3 linked regions of the Saccharomyces cerevisiae S288C genome follow. The gene in region 2 interacts genetically with the main gene of each other region. Each region holds a gene or a part of one and is shown on either strand. Other genes may lie near its edges.

Evidence for each region.
Region 1: mutations in YML082W (region 2) and HEM2 together harm fitness less than expected from each alone (positive genetic interaction), as found in Saccharomyces cerevisiae (one large-scale study listed by BioGRID).
Region 3: mutations in YML082W (region 2) and CIT2 together harm fitness less than expected from each alone (positive genetic interaction), as found in Saccharomyces cerevisiae (one large-scale study listed by BioGRID).

The regions. Positions count from the first base shown.
Region 1 is NC_001139.9:418,956-422,641, forward strand, and holds HEM2 (porphobilinogen synthase HEM2), read right to left. Parts: upstream 1,601-3,686; coding exon 572-1,600; downstream 1-571. Other genes in the region: DPC13 (Dpc13p), read left to right, coding at 1-334. UniProt on the Saccharomyces cerevisiae protein: Catalyzes an early step in the biosynthesis of tetrapyrroles. Binds two molecules of 5-aminolevulinate per subunit, each at a distinct site, and catalyzes their condensation to form porphobilinogen.
Region 2 is NC_001145.3:99,868-103,624, reverse strand, and holds the start of YML082W (putative cystathionine gamma-synthase), read right to left. Parts: upstream 1,764-3,757; coding exon 1-1,763. Other genes in the region: YML083C (uncharacterized protein), read left to right, coding at 2,575-3,757. UniProt on the Saccharomyces cerevisiae protein: Catalyzes the formation of L-cystathionine from O-succinyl-L-homoserine (OSHS) and L-cysteine, via a gamma-replacement reaction. In the absence of thiol, catalyzes gamma-elimination to form 2-oxobutanoate, succinate and ammonia.
Region 3 is NC_001135.5:120,713-124,469, forward strand, and holds CIT2 (citrate (Si)-synthase CIT2), read right to left. Parts: upstream 1,617-3,757; coding exon 234-1,616; downstream 1-233. Other genes in the region: YCR006C (uncharacterized protein), read right to left, coding at 1,818-2,291. UniProt on the Saccharomyces cerevisiae protein: Peroxisomal citrate synthase involved in the citrate homeostasis. Catalyzes the condensation of acetyl coenzyme A and oxaloacetate to form citrate. Citrate synthase is the rate-limiting enzyme of the tricarboxylic acid (TCA) cycle.

The sequences.
Region 1 (3,686 bases), on a different chromosome or scaffold from region 2:
ATCTTGGGACGACAGACAGCCTAATGACAAAATAGATGCACACATAAAGGTGCAGAAACTCATGGATCAAATAAATTCGAGGCCTAATGTTCTGGAAAAGTTAGAAAAGGTTAGCAATATCATGATCGAAAAAAAATTGGTTAATCTAGATGGGACTTCTGCCAATGAAGAAAATACGATGAAACCATGGCAAATGATTAAGATCTTAATGGACAGAGATCTGAGACACGCTATGAAGGAATTTAAATTGGAATTGGAAAAATCTGGCATACAGTTAGGACCTGAACAACTGGCCCCGCTAATGACCGTTTTAGGCCTTGAGAAGAAAAAATGAGAGGTGAAAGTAAAAAAACATTACCTATCTGTCTTACTAGCGCCTTCCGTGTATAAATATTACGTACTACTACATAAATACTCATTAGGAGGATTACATAATTTCCATTGTATCGTATACTAGGTCGCATCTTTGCATATTATAAAGCTTGCCAAATAGGGATATACTGCCAGCACTGTTACATTTGTCATATTGACATCATTATTTTTACTATTCACAAGGTAAGCACGTTTTTTTTTAGTTTTCTTCATCTAACCAGTCTAGGAACTCAGGAGCCAAATAAGTGATGATTAATCTGGCACCCGCCCTCAAGAAACCTTGATGAGATTCAAAGGCAATTGTCTTCAAATCAACAACACCTTTTTCAGCTGCAGCATGTAACATTGCGTATTCGCCCGACACGTGATATGCGCAGATTGGTAAGTCTTTACAAATTTCACTTGCATCCCTCATTATATCTAAGTAGAAAGTGGAAGGCTTAACAATAATACCGTCGGCACCTTCACTCATATCCCTTTCCAACGCCCTACGTGCCAGGCCACGACCGGCAGGAGGTAATTGGTAACATTTCCTATCACCATTCGAAGGAGCTGAACAAGCAGCATCACGGAATGGCCCATATAGATTACCGCTAAACTTAGCTGCATAGGATAACACGAAGGTCTTGTGAGCCAAGTTTGCATTTATTAAGCCTCGTTTAATATCTCTGATCCTACCATCGATCATATCACTGGGAGCCACACAGTGCGCACCAGCTTTAGCGTAGTTAACTGCCACAGCTGCTAATCTAGAGACACTACGTTCTCTATTAATAGTACCATCATCGTATAGAACCCCGCAATGGCCATGAGAAGTGTATTCACAGAGACAGACATCGCAAATAATATACAGTTCAGGGAAATACTCACGAATGAATTTAATACCTTGAATGACTGGCCCTGCAGGATCGTCAGCCGCTGTACCCACTGGATCCTTGGTACCAGGGATGAGAGGCACACCAAACAAGATCACAGAACGCAAACCCTTGGCCACTAATGGCTTTAAGTAGTCTTTTAGCCTATTTACACCGATTCTATTGATATTAGGTAGAGAGTCAATTTCAGTAAAGTCATCTGGATTATCGGAGATGAATAGCGGAAAAATCAACATGTTCTTAGTCAGTTGACGCTCACTTTGCCACTGTCTCAGCAGTGGGTGATTATAACCACCTGCTAGAACAGATGAGATTTCTGTTGGTTCTGTTTCCAAAAATTCAGCTGTATGCATGGTTTTGTCAATTTTCTAGGTATGAATTACTGGAGTAAGCAATAATATGAGTAAGCAGTAAAACTTTTTTTTATTTGGCTGATTGGGCAAGAAAATCAAAGACAATAGAGTGGCGCATAGATGTTGCTAGCATTTATTAGGTTGCCTTACTCTTATATAAATCAAGCGGGAAGCTTGCCTCAAGCCAATCACCGCACCGAACAGGGATTGCTCGTTTACCCGTATTTTGATTTTTTTTTCACCTTTTCCAATTTTTTTTTCGGCAACAATTTTTTGGATGATTTTTATCGTCGATCTTGGAATGATGATGTATTTCGGCGTCTCTACAAGACCCAATAAAGTAATTCGGTGACACAGGCTTGTAGCAGATAGAAAACGTTCCGAAAGATGGGTTCCAATTGATGTAACACTTCTTTTTTATATATTCATGTGGACGTGTACGCCTTCTTCCCTTCTTTGCCTCTTGTGCCACTGTTAATCCTCTTAAGCATATTGTTTTTATTTACAGACATTGGCTGACTCACCAGAAACTATAATTGACGCTGATTTCTAGTTAATTAAAAATAAAATATATGCAAGAATTAGCACCAGGCAGTCATTTCTGTAAATTGCTTTGTTTTCTATTTCAAATTTGTTTTTTGTATATGTTTCAATGTTCTCGTGACAATGCAGGCTTTTTTTTGTGCGAATTAAAGTAAAGCTAATCAAAACTAAACAATAATTTATCTTGTTCCCGAAAGAGTGGATCATGAGGAGGAAAGCTAACCGTCCAAGATCCTATATAATTTTTGAACTGAAAACCAACTGTTCACCTAGAAGACAGGTATCTGGATATGTAACTACACGCTCTATAAATACAGAAATCGTAAGCTAATCAATATAAATGTAAAAGAAAATAGGAATTGCTGTCGATAGATTTATTTACTTTTGTATTGTCATCTGTGTTCTGTGCCAGTACACCGGACTCGTATGAGCTGTATGGTGTCGTTTCAATAGAATCTACTGTAATAATCACACAGATTAGAAATTATTTTCAAGATTAAATATGACAATACACCTTGGAATAAAAACACAGGATCTAATAGTGGCCCAAAATGAAGCTCGACGTGAAAATAATAGAGCCGTGATTTTAATTTCATGATTGGAAGACGTTTTCAAGGATGGTTAGACTTTGGGTCTGAAAGCACTGTCTCGTAGTCCATATATAAAGAAAATCTTATGGGAAACTGGTTACATTCTAATGATTTTAGCAACAAGTTGCAGCTAAGAGTTTGAATATCTGAACGAAGTTGTCGGTACTTCTGCCACTATCAGTATAAATAATTGCCGCCGTTCCATGATATGGAGAGCATGGCAAGGTTTACTCTGATCTTGGCCATTCTTCATTAATTTGTCGTGTGAAATGCGCAGTAATCAACCAATTTTCTGTCAGCGGTATTTGAAGCCCTAAGATGACACAAATGAGAAAGCGTTTTCTCAACTAGTAATGCCAAATTCCTCCCTTCTATAAAAAGCCCCTAACTCCGCTGCATTCAATTGCATTTTTCATTAAAAGAATACCTTGAATAAAACCATGCGGGAACATATAGATATATAAAGCAGAACATTTTTGCTCAAGAACAGAAAGTTCCAATGGTTATCTATAGGTTCCGTTTCAGCTTTACGTACCTCCCAGTCAAGGTACGATTCAAAGCCTTTTAATTTTTTATCCCAAATAGAGCACGATGTCGCAATCTTCTGAGTGTTAAACTGTCGCCAAATCTGTATTTGGGTATAGCCATTTCTTCCAAAATTGCTAGGAATGGCCTTATAAGCTATATTGTGCTTGTGCTTGCGTTTGCGTTTGCATTTTTTTTTTTGTTATTTTATTACTTCGTCACAAGGGGTACAAGAGAACTCTTATCCAACTGACCACAGCTTTGTCACTAATTTCTCTCCAGAGGGGAATGTCCCTTTGAGATTATCGAACAGGAATGATTGGATCTATTGCACTAAAATGACCCAAAAACGCTCTAGTCCATGCTGCATCCTATCTTCCATCAATACAGAAAATAACAGAAGGTTCATCAGCTCATATATAGAGAAG
Region 2 (3,757 bases):
CCCTTGTTCAGCTTTAGATTGTCATAAAAGGCCGCAGCATGATCTTCGTCATGGAACGTTAGTGAAAAGAGCCCGCCGTATCCACCTTCTTTCTTACACCTCACCATGTCATAGTTGGTTAGTGTTTCTTTTGAGGTTAGATTAGGGTAGTAGATTTTCTTGAATAGTTTATTTTCGCCTACGTGTGGCTTCAGTATTTTATCTAAGAGGTATTCGGTGCTGTAGTTGATCCTGATGGTTCTAGCAATGAAATCTCTGGAATTTCTTTCCAGGTAAATTGCGTCTTCGCACCATAATAAATCTTCATATTCGTCTTCTAATTGCATAAAACGGGAGGCAAACTCGTATACCCGGCTTTGTGGATTTAAAACCATTGAACCACCAATGACGTTAGAGTCCCCACTAAATGTCTTCGTCAATGAACTGCAAACGATATCAGCAAACGGTAGACCGTCAATATTAACTATTCCACCCACAGTTTCATCAATGATAATGAAAAACCCAAATAATTCCGAAAGCCTTTTCAGTTCCAGTAAATTTCCCATTTTTAATAGTGGGTTTGATGGGGTCTCTATAAAAACGGCAAGAATTTGCTCCCCGGAATGTAAAATTTTTGTTAGTTCTTTCATTGAAGACTCATCTCCTTCTCCCAAGAAATACGTTTCATTAAACTCTTGCAAGACATGTAATGTATCCGCATAAGGGAACCCAAAAATCACGGTCTTCTTATTCGGAGGTGACGAGGTGACGTCGCTTCCATTTCTGGATCTATTCAAACGCAGTGAGTCCCATTGCAACAGCAATCTATGCGCAGTGAATATCGACGCCATGCCGCTCGGAAACAAAAAAACGTCTCTCTCAGGGCAAACCCTTAATGCACACCTCCCGGCATCTTCCTCTACGGATTGCTCTTCCTCTATCGTGCTCATTTCGATGGGCTCCGGGGGTATAGTGGAAACAAGGCCATTATGCGGTTCTTCTTGACTGTCTACTTCACCGCTAATCCCGCCGTCATGATCTTCTCCGTGGTTAGCCTCATTGAGGGATGAATCCAGAAACGTGTCCTGGAAGTCCTGTTCATCTTGGTTACCTGCTAAGAAATGGTAGTTTTCCTCCTCATCGTGCTCATCTTTATCTATAACCTTTGTAGCGATCCTCTTCTTAATCAATTCCTTGGCTCGATCGGCAAATGCAAAATTCAGATTCCTGCCATACCGCATCTCTATGTATTCCTTTTCCTCTGCAGGGCTGGATTTCTTTTCTACCATGAAAAGTTCATGCAAAACATATTCAGCTAGTCTGCTTGAGATGATCTCTCCGGTGTATTGCCAATACTGTTTTAATATATTCTCGTATGCCCCATCTACAAACACTACCGCAATCTTACACTCTCTTTTCCACGTCTTCTGCTCCTCGTTGATAGGTTTCGCCGTGGCTAACTGTAATATCCTTACTTTGCCATTGCGATGCGCGCACTTCCTTCTTACATACTCTCTGCACCGTTTGGCAACTCTATAAGAGGGGAAGCAAAAGCACGTTTCGTTTTCTTTAGCATACTTTTCTATTAAAATATCACGCAGCTTTTGAATCGAGGGGTGGATCCAAAACCTGGGGTAGCCAGACTTTAAACACCCTAAAACTTTGGGGTCTTTCTCCACATACGAAATTACAGATTTCCATGTCGGGAAACATACAGATACCGCATGTTGAGTGTCCAGTGGTATAGGCTGTCCTAGCTCGGTAGCCACTTGCGCTGAAACCATATTATAATGTCCTATAGAAGAAGAAAATGTCAGGAAAACTTCGCCTATAGCCCTTACTCTCTGCGTGGCCCTGCTATACTTCTTTCACTATTGAGAGGCAATTTTTTCATCAAATTTTCATTGCGAATTTTCCAGACGGCATCGCACAGGTAGTCGGGTAACACGAAGATGTGGTTTTTCAACTTGGTAAGGACTGCTATTAAAGAGGTCAGTCGATACAACGAGAGAAACTTAAACTTACACGTCTATCCTTGGCGTCCATGTTGAGCATGGTATTATCTTCACCTGCTGCCTGTCTTTAAATCGAGGGTATCCGCACCGCAGTTCGTGACCTGTGCCTGCGTTATGCGAGAGCAAAAGGGCCCTTAACGAGCCGGCACCTAAACGAAAATTTCAAGGGTTTTTTTGGCGGTGCCTAATAAGGAACGCGCAGAACAATAGACCCTGCCGGTAAACGATGGCCTTGCAGTCGTATACTGTTAAAACTGTTGAGTGGGTGAATGGCAGGGCCTAACTGCTTGCCTAGGAGTACCGCAGGAACGGTACGAATCGAGTGGAGACAGCAAACCTTGACGTGTGCTTGCTTTTAAACGGGTCGGAGAATTTACTCTTGAGCATATACGTGTGGGCATATGCATACAAATATATAAATACATTCGGGTGTATACGTAAATATATAAATATATAAAGTAACATATGTATATAAAGACGAAAGATTGAACGCCATCGTGGAGAGGGTTTTCGTATGAAGGTGCCTTAAGTCTTGTGTAGAAGTAGTTCTTTAGTTAAGATAGAACCTGGTAAAGACTCAATGGACTATTTACATGTATATAACAACAACCAGGCGCACGTTCCCAGAACACCTCCAGGCAGGCAGTGCCTATCGCCCGTTCTGCCCCCAATCATATTGGCGTTAGATCAACAACATTCGCTGACATTTGGGTACTCCAGCCCCAGGTGCTTGCCAACACCCATATTGCCTTCTATGAGCACAAATACGCCCGTCCATTGGTCACAACAGGTTGTCACTATCCCTGTCGCTGTACGAAATCATGCCGCAATGATGCCTATTATCACACCTATGACCTCCCCAAGACCTCAGTTTGAAGCAACGGCTCCCTCACCCCCTTTGGCCCCGGTCGCCATAAAGCTGCCAGATTTGAAACTACCACCGTCGCCTGTGCCCAGCACAGTAGAGGACAGAGTTTCACATCCTATCCTGCCCAAAATTGTGATCGGGAATGGCGGCGGCCGTGATGTTGAGCGAGATAGTACCGAGGAATTAATTAGGAAGATTCCAAACTACATTGGTTGTGCAAAAACAAAGGCACAATTGAGCAAAGTTAGGTCTGGTAAACAACTAATTGCATGCGCACAGGAATATCACCATCCAGTAAACAAGGACGAGATCGAAAATATCAACAACATTCTAAACTTCAGGGACTTTATTTTCAAGCATCCAAAATCCTCCTTCGAGTTCCTATGTACCCTGTCGTTTGAGCAGTTCGTTAGAGTATATTCATTCATTAGTTTCATCTACAGGACAAAGAAAATCAATAAGAACAAGTACGAACTCGTTTGTGAGATGAATGTTCACGAGCAACTCAGCAATAAGCGTATACAAAGAACAAGGACTCCTGAAAAGTACAAAATACATTTGATCTGCGAGTCAAAACTCATACTGACCTTCAACCACTGTACGAAGACAGTAAAATTTGAGTCTATCAATGGCGGGCACTGCCATCCGATTTCAGCCAACCACATTATCAAGCCCTCCCTCTTCCTTACCCACTGCATTAATAAATGCTACCAGACCGTGTCAGACCCTACCGATTTGAAATTGGCATTGAGAGACGCCTTAGAAGCCCTTGATCATGAAAGGATAGGATTGTCTTTCTTAAAGAGGAGACATTTCAAGTGCTCACACCAAGCATCATCACTCTCGAATGCCAGCGCCACATTGAAGAAACAAGAAGATCATGACACATTTGGTG
Region 3 (3,757 bases), on a different chromosome or scaffold from region 2:
TGCGTGTGTACCTAGTTATCGCGTGATAGCTTCCGCAATTTTCCAACCATTAGTAAATTTTATGTAACTAAAACGAGGAAGGAAATAGTAACGTTCATTTTCTTAATTATAAATATCATTATCATAGTGTATGGTTAAAAGAATATATTATTGTATTAAATAAGTGCTAAATACTAAATGGTCATGAGGAAAGAAAAATATGCAGAGGGGTGTAAAAGTAGGATGTAATCCAACTATAGTTTGCTTTCAATGTTTTTGACCAATTCCTTGTATTTCTCAGTAGAATAGGACTTTGGCCTTTCAATGGAAGCACCGATGGCCCTATCAGTGATCAATTGAGCAAGAATACCAAATGCCCTTGAAACGCCAAATAAAACGGTATAGAAAGAAGATTCTTTTAGTCCATAATATTGTAATAAGACACCAGAGTGAGCATCTACATTTGGCCATGGATTTTTGGTTTTACCATGTTCAGTCAATACGCCAGGTGCTACCTCGTATATTGATGAAACTAACTTGAATAATTCATAATCTGGAAAATGGTCCATGGCAAACTTACGCTGAGCCATATAACGAGGATCAGTTTTCCTTAGCACAGCATGACCATAACCGGGAATGACTCTTCCTGAGTTTAGAGTATCCCATAAATATTTTTCGATCGTATCTTTAGAGTAGTCATCATTTACCTCTTCTTTAAGTGCAAATAACCATTCTAGTACTTCTTGATTAGCACGCCCATGAAGTGGGCCAGCCAACCCGTTCAAACCTGATGCAAGGGACAGATAAGGTGATGATAGTGCTGAGCCCACAAGATGGGATGTATGTGCAGATACATTACCACCTTCGTGATCCGAATGAATGGTTAAATAAAGTCTCATCAAGTCCACGAAATCTTCATCCTTAGAACCAATCAAGTTGACCAGATTTTTAGCATAATCGGCATTTGGGTCCACTTCACCCATTTTGCCATCTTTGAATACATTACGATAAATTTTAGCTGCAATAACTGGCAATTTACCCAGCAAGTCTAGTGAATCTTCAAAAGTATAACTCCAATAATCTTGCTTGGAAATTCCTTGAGCATAAGCCTTAGCAAACTTTGACTCGCTTTCCAAGGCAGTTACAGCAATAGAGAATTGAGCCATTGGGTGTAAGTCCTTTGGTAAATTATCCAAAAGTTGAACGACATGACTAGGTAGTTCCGATCTTGACATTAGATCAGCTGATAAGTTTTCAACTTGCGCTTGAGTTGGAACCTCGCCAGTTAGCAATAACCAAAAGAGAGCTTCTGGTAGTGGTTGTGAGCTTCCTTTTGCCTTGGGCAGGTCCTTTTGAATGTCGGCGATCGTACGACCTCTGAAACGAATACCGTCTTCTGGGTCCAAAACGGAACCTTCCCATACGCTCCCTGGAATACCTCTCATACCACCATATACCTGTTCTAATAGAACATCGCTAATTTTAGTTTTGCCATGCTCTTTAACGAATTGCCTTACATCTTGAGCATGGATGGGGTAGATTTCGCTAAATCTCTCTTTTAGAGTCTTTTCTTGGCTTGAATTTGATTGTAAATATGATGCAACATTTCTGTTTGAATTTAGATAAGGAACTGTCATTTTTCTTGTTACTAGTATTATTAAAACAAAAAGTTTTGAGAACCTGTTATGATATGTGTTGATATTGTTCCCTGAAACTTAATAATGAGGAACGAACACCATATCTAAAGAACCAAGTTTTAATAGTCTTATATACGCTCAACGTCGAGAATAATGGGCCCTTTTGAGAGCATGACTATCTTTAGATTAACGTCACCAATTTCATACGAATGTAACGCTCAAAAGGTAATTGCGCTTACCATTGTTATTGTTTTTCCGCTGTGCCTCCCATTGCTGACGCCCTGATAGACGTCTAGCTACGGAAAAGGTCACACTTTTTTTCTGCAAGAAAAAATAGGTCGTGACCTCTTCGCCCCTAGTCGATGACCACCGGATAAATGCGTCGAATGTGCGCGCTATTAGTTTGCGCTCTTTTGAGATACCGCCAAGCCATTGATTGAATGACCCAAGGACGGATTTGTTCAACACTCCAAAGCGGCTTATGTTGTGGCAACAACTCTGGGGAAAGTCAGCGCAATGTTTTCCCCTAAGGATTCGCGCGAGCCGTGTGTAACAAAGTTCCGCCGGTATAGCATATCTAAACCACAGAAGGACGCTTATACGGCCGTCTTCCACAGTAATTAGAAGGACATTAGTCGGAGTGTAAATAAGACGGTTGCATACGCGTATGAACATGGGCCATTCATTTTACGGAAATGGCAACACATTTTCTTGTTTTTAATGTAAATAGTACGGAGTTCCTTTTTGGTGCGCTGAATGTATGCCGTAGTTTGGTTTCTTGCCAGGCGTGAGAAGAGAGGTCACACATGCTGTTGGGGTTCATGATTTTCAGCCTTCGCTCTGCTAAGTAAAAGGTCCATTGATCCGAAGCGCTTCCTCCAATATCGCAGTGATAAACGGTCATGTAAGCCTACAGTCTTTAAACTGTAGATGATTTAATGGATTATCTCATACATTGAATATCACACTTCAGCAGTTCAAGTTTTCATTAACATTGGTCTTCTCCAGCTTACTCTGTAAAGTCCGCTGCAGTTTTCTAGAAATCATAATCTGTACCTCCATTCAGCCATCTGAGGAACCTCCGAAATAACGAGTAAATGTTCAAACATGCCATGCGCCTTGGTTTATTGTACGAGTTTTAGCATATTGCAAAAAAAAACTGCTCCTGAGTACACTTGTTTTACGTCGGAAAGATAAATGCCGTACCATTTCTGCCAGTAGCGACACCACACATTGTAAAAACAATGTGGGGCGAGCCGGGACTCGAACCCGGGACCTCCCGCACCCTAAGCGAGAATCATACCTCTAGACCACACGCCCTCCTTTGAAAAATCCCGGCAGAACAGCGCCTGAAGTCTGGGATACAGCCCTATTTTCCCTGCCATCGTCATTGACCTTTTTCTTAACGACCAGATTAACAGCCAGTTATTGAAAGTTTGCGAACGTGAAGTAAAACTGCAAAATGGTCGTTTTAAGTCAAAAGTAACCCTGCGTCACACATGAGAAACATTATCGCTAAGTTGTTGTTACTACTTCTTGTAATTAACTTACTGTCGCATTCCAAATGGACTGCGAAACAGACACGAAACAATTACGAAAGTGACGACAGAGTAAATATTGTCATTAAAGAGAATGATGACCTCCGGGTAAACTGTGAGAATAAGTCTAGACCATTCGTTAAACTTCATCTTTAATTGAGAAGCATAGTAAAAAATAATTAACAAGTTAACACAACTATCTTGACCCATGCTACCAAGGACATAAGTAATATCCTCCACCACTTTTACTCAAAGTATATCTCATTCTGAGAAATGGGTGAATGTTGAGATAATTGTTGGGATTCCATTGTTGATAAAGGCTATAATATTAGGTATACAGAATATACTAGAAGTTCTCCTCGAGGGTCTAGGAATCCCCATAATGGAATCTATATTTCTATATACCAATATTACGATTATTCCTCATTCCGTTTTATATGTTTCATTATCCTATTACATTATCAATCCTTACACTTCAGCTTCCTCTAACTTCGATGACAGCTTCTCATAACTTATGTCATCATCTTAACACCGTATATGATAATATATTGATAATATAACTATTAGTTGATAGACGATAGTGGATTTTTATTCCAACACATT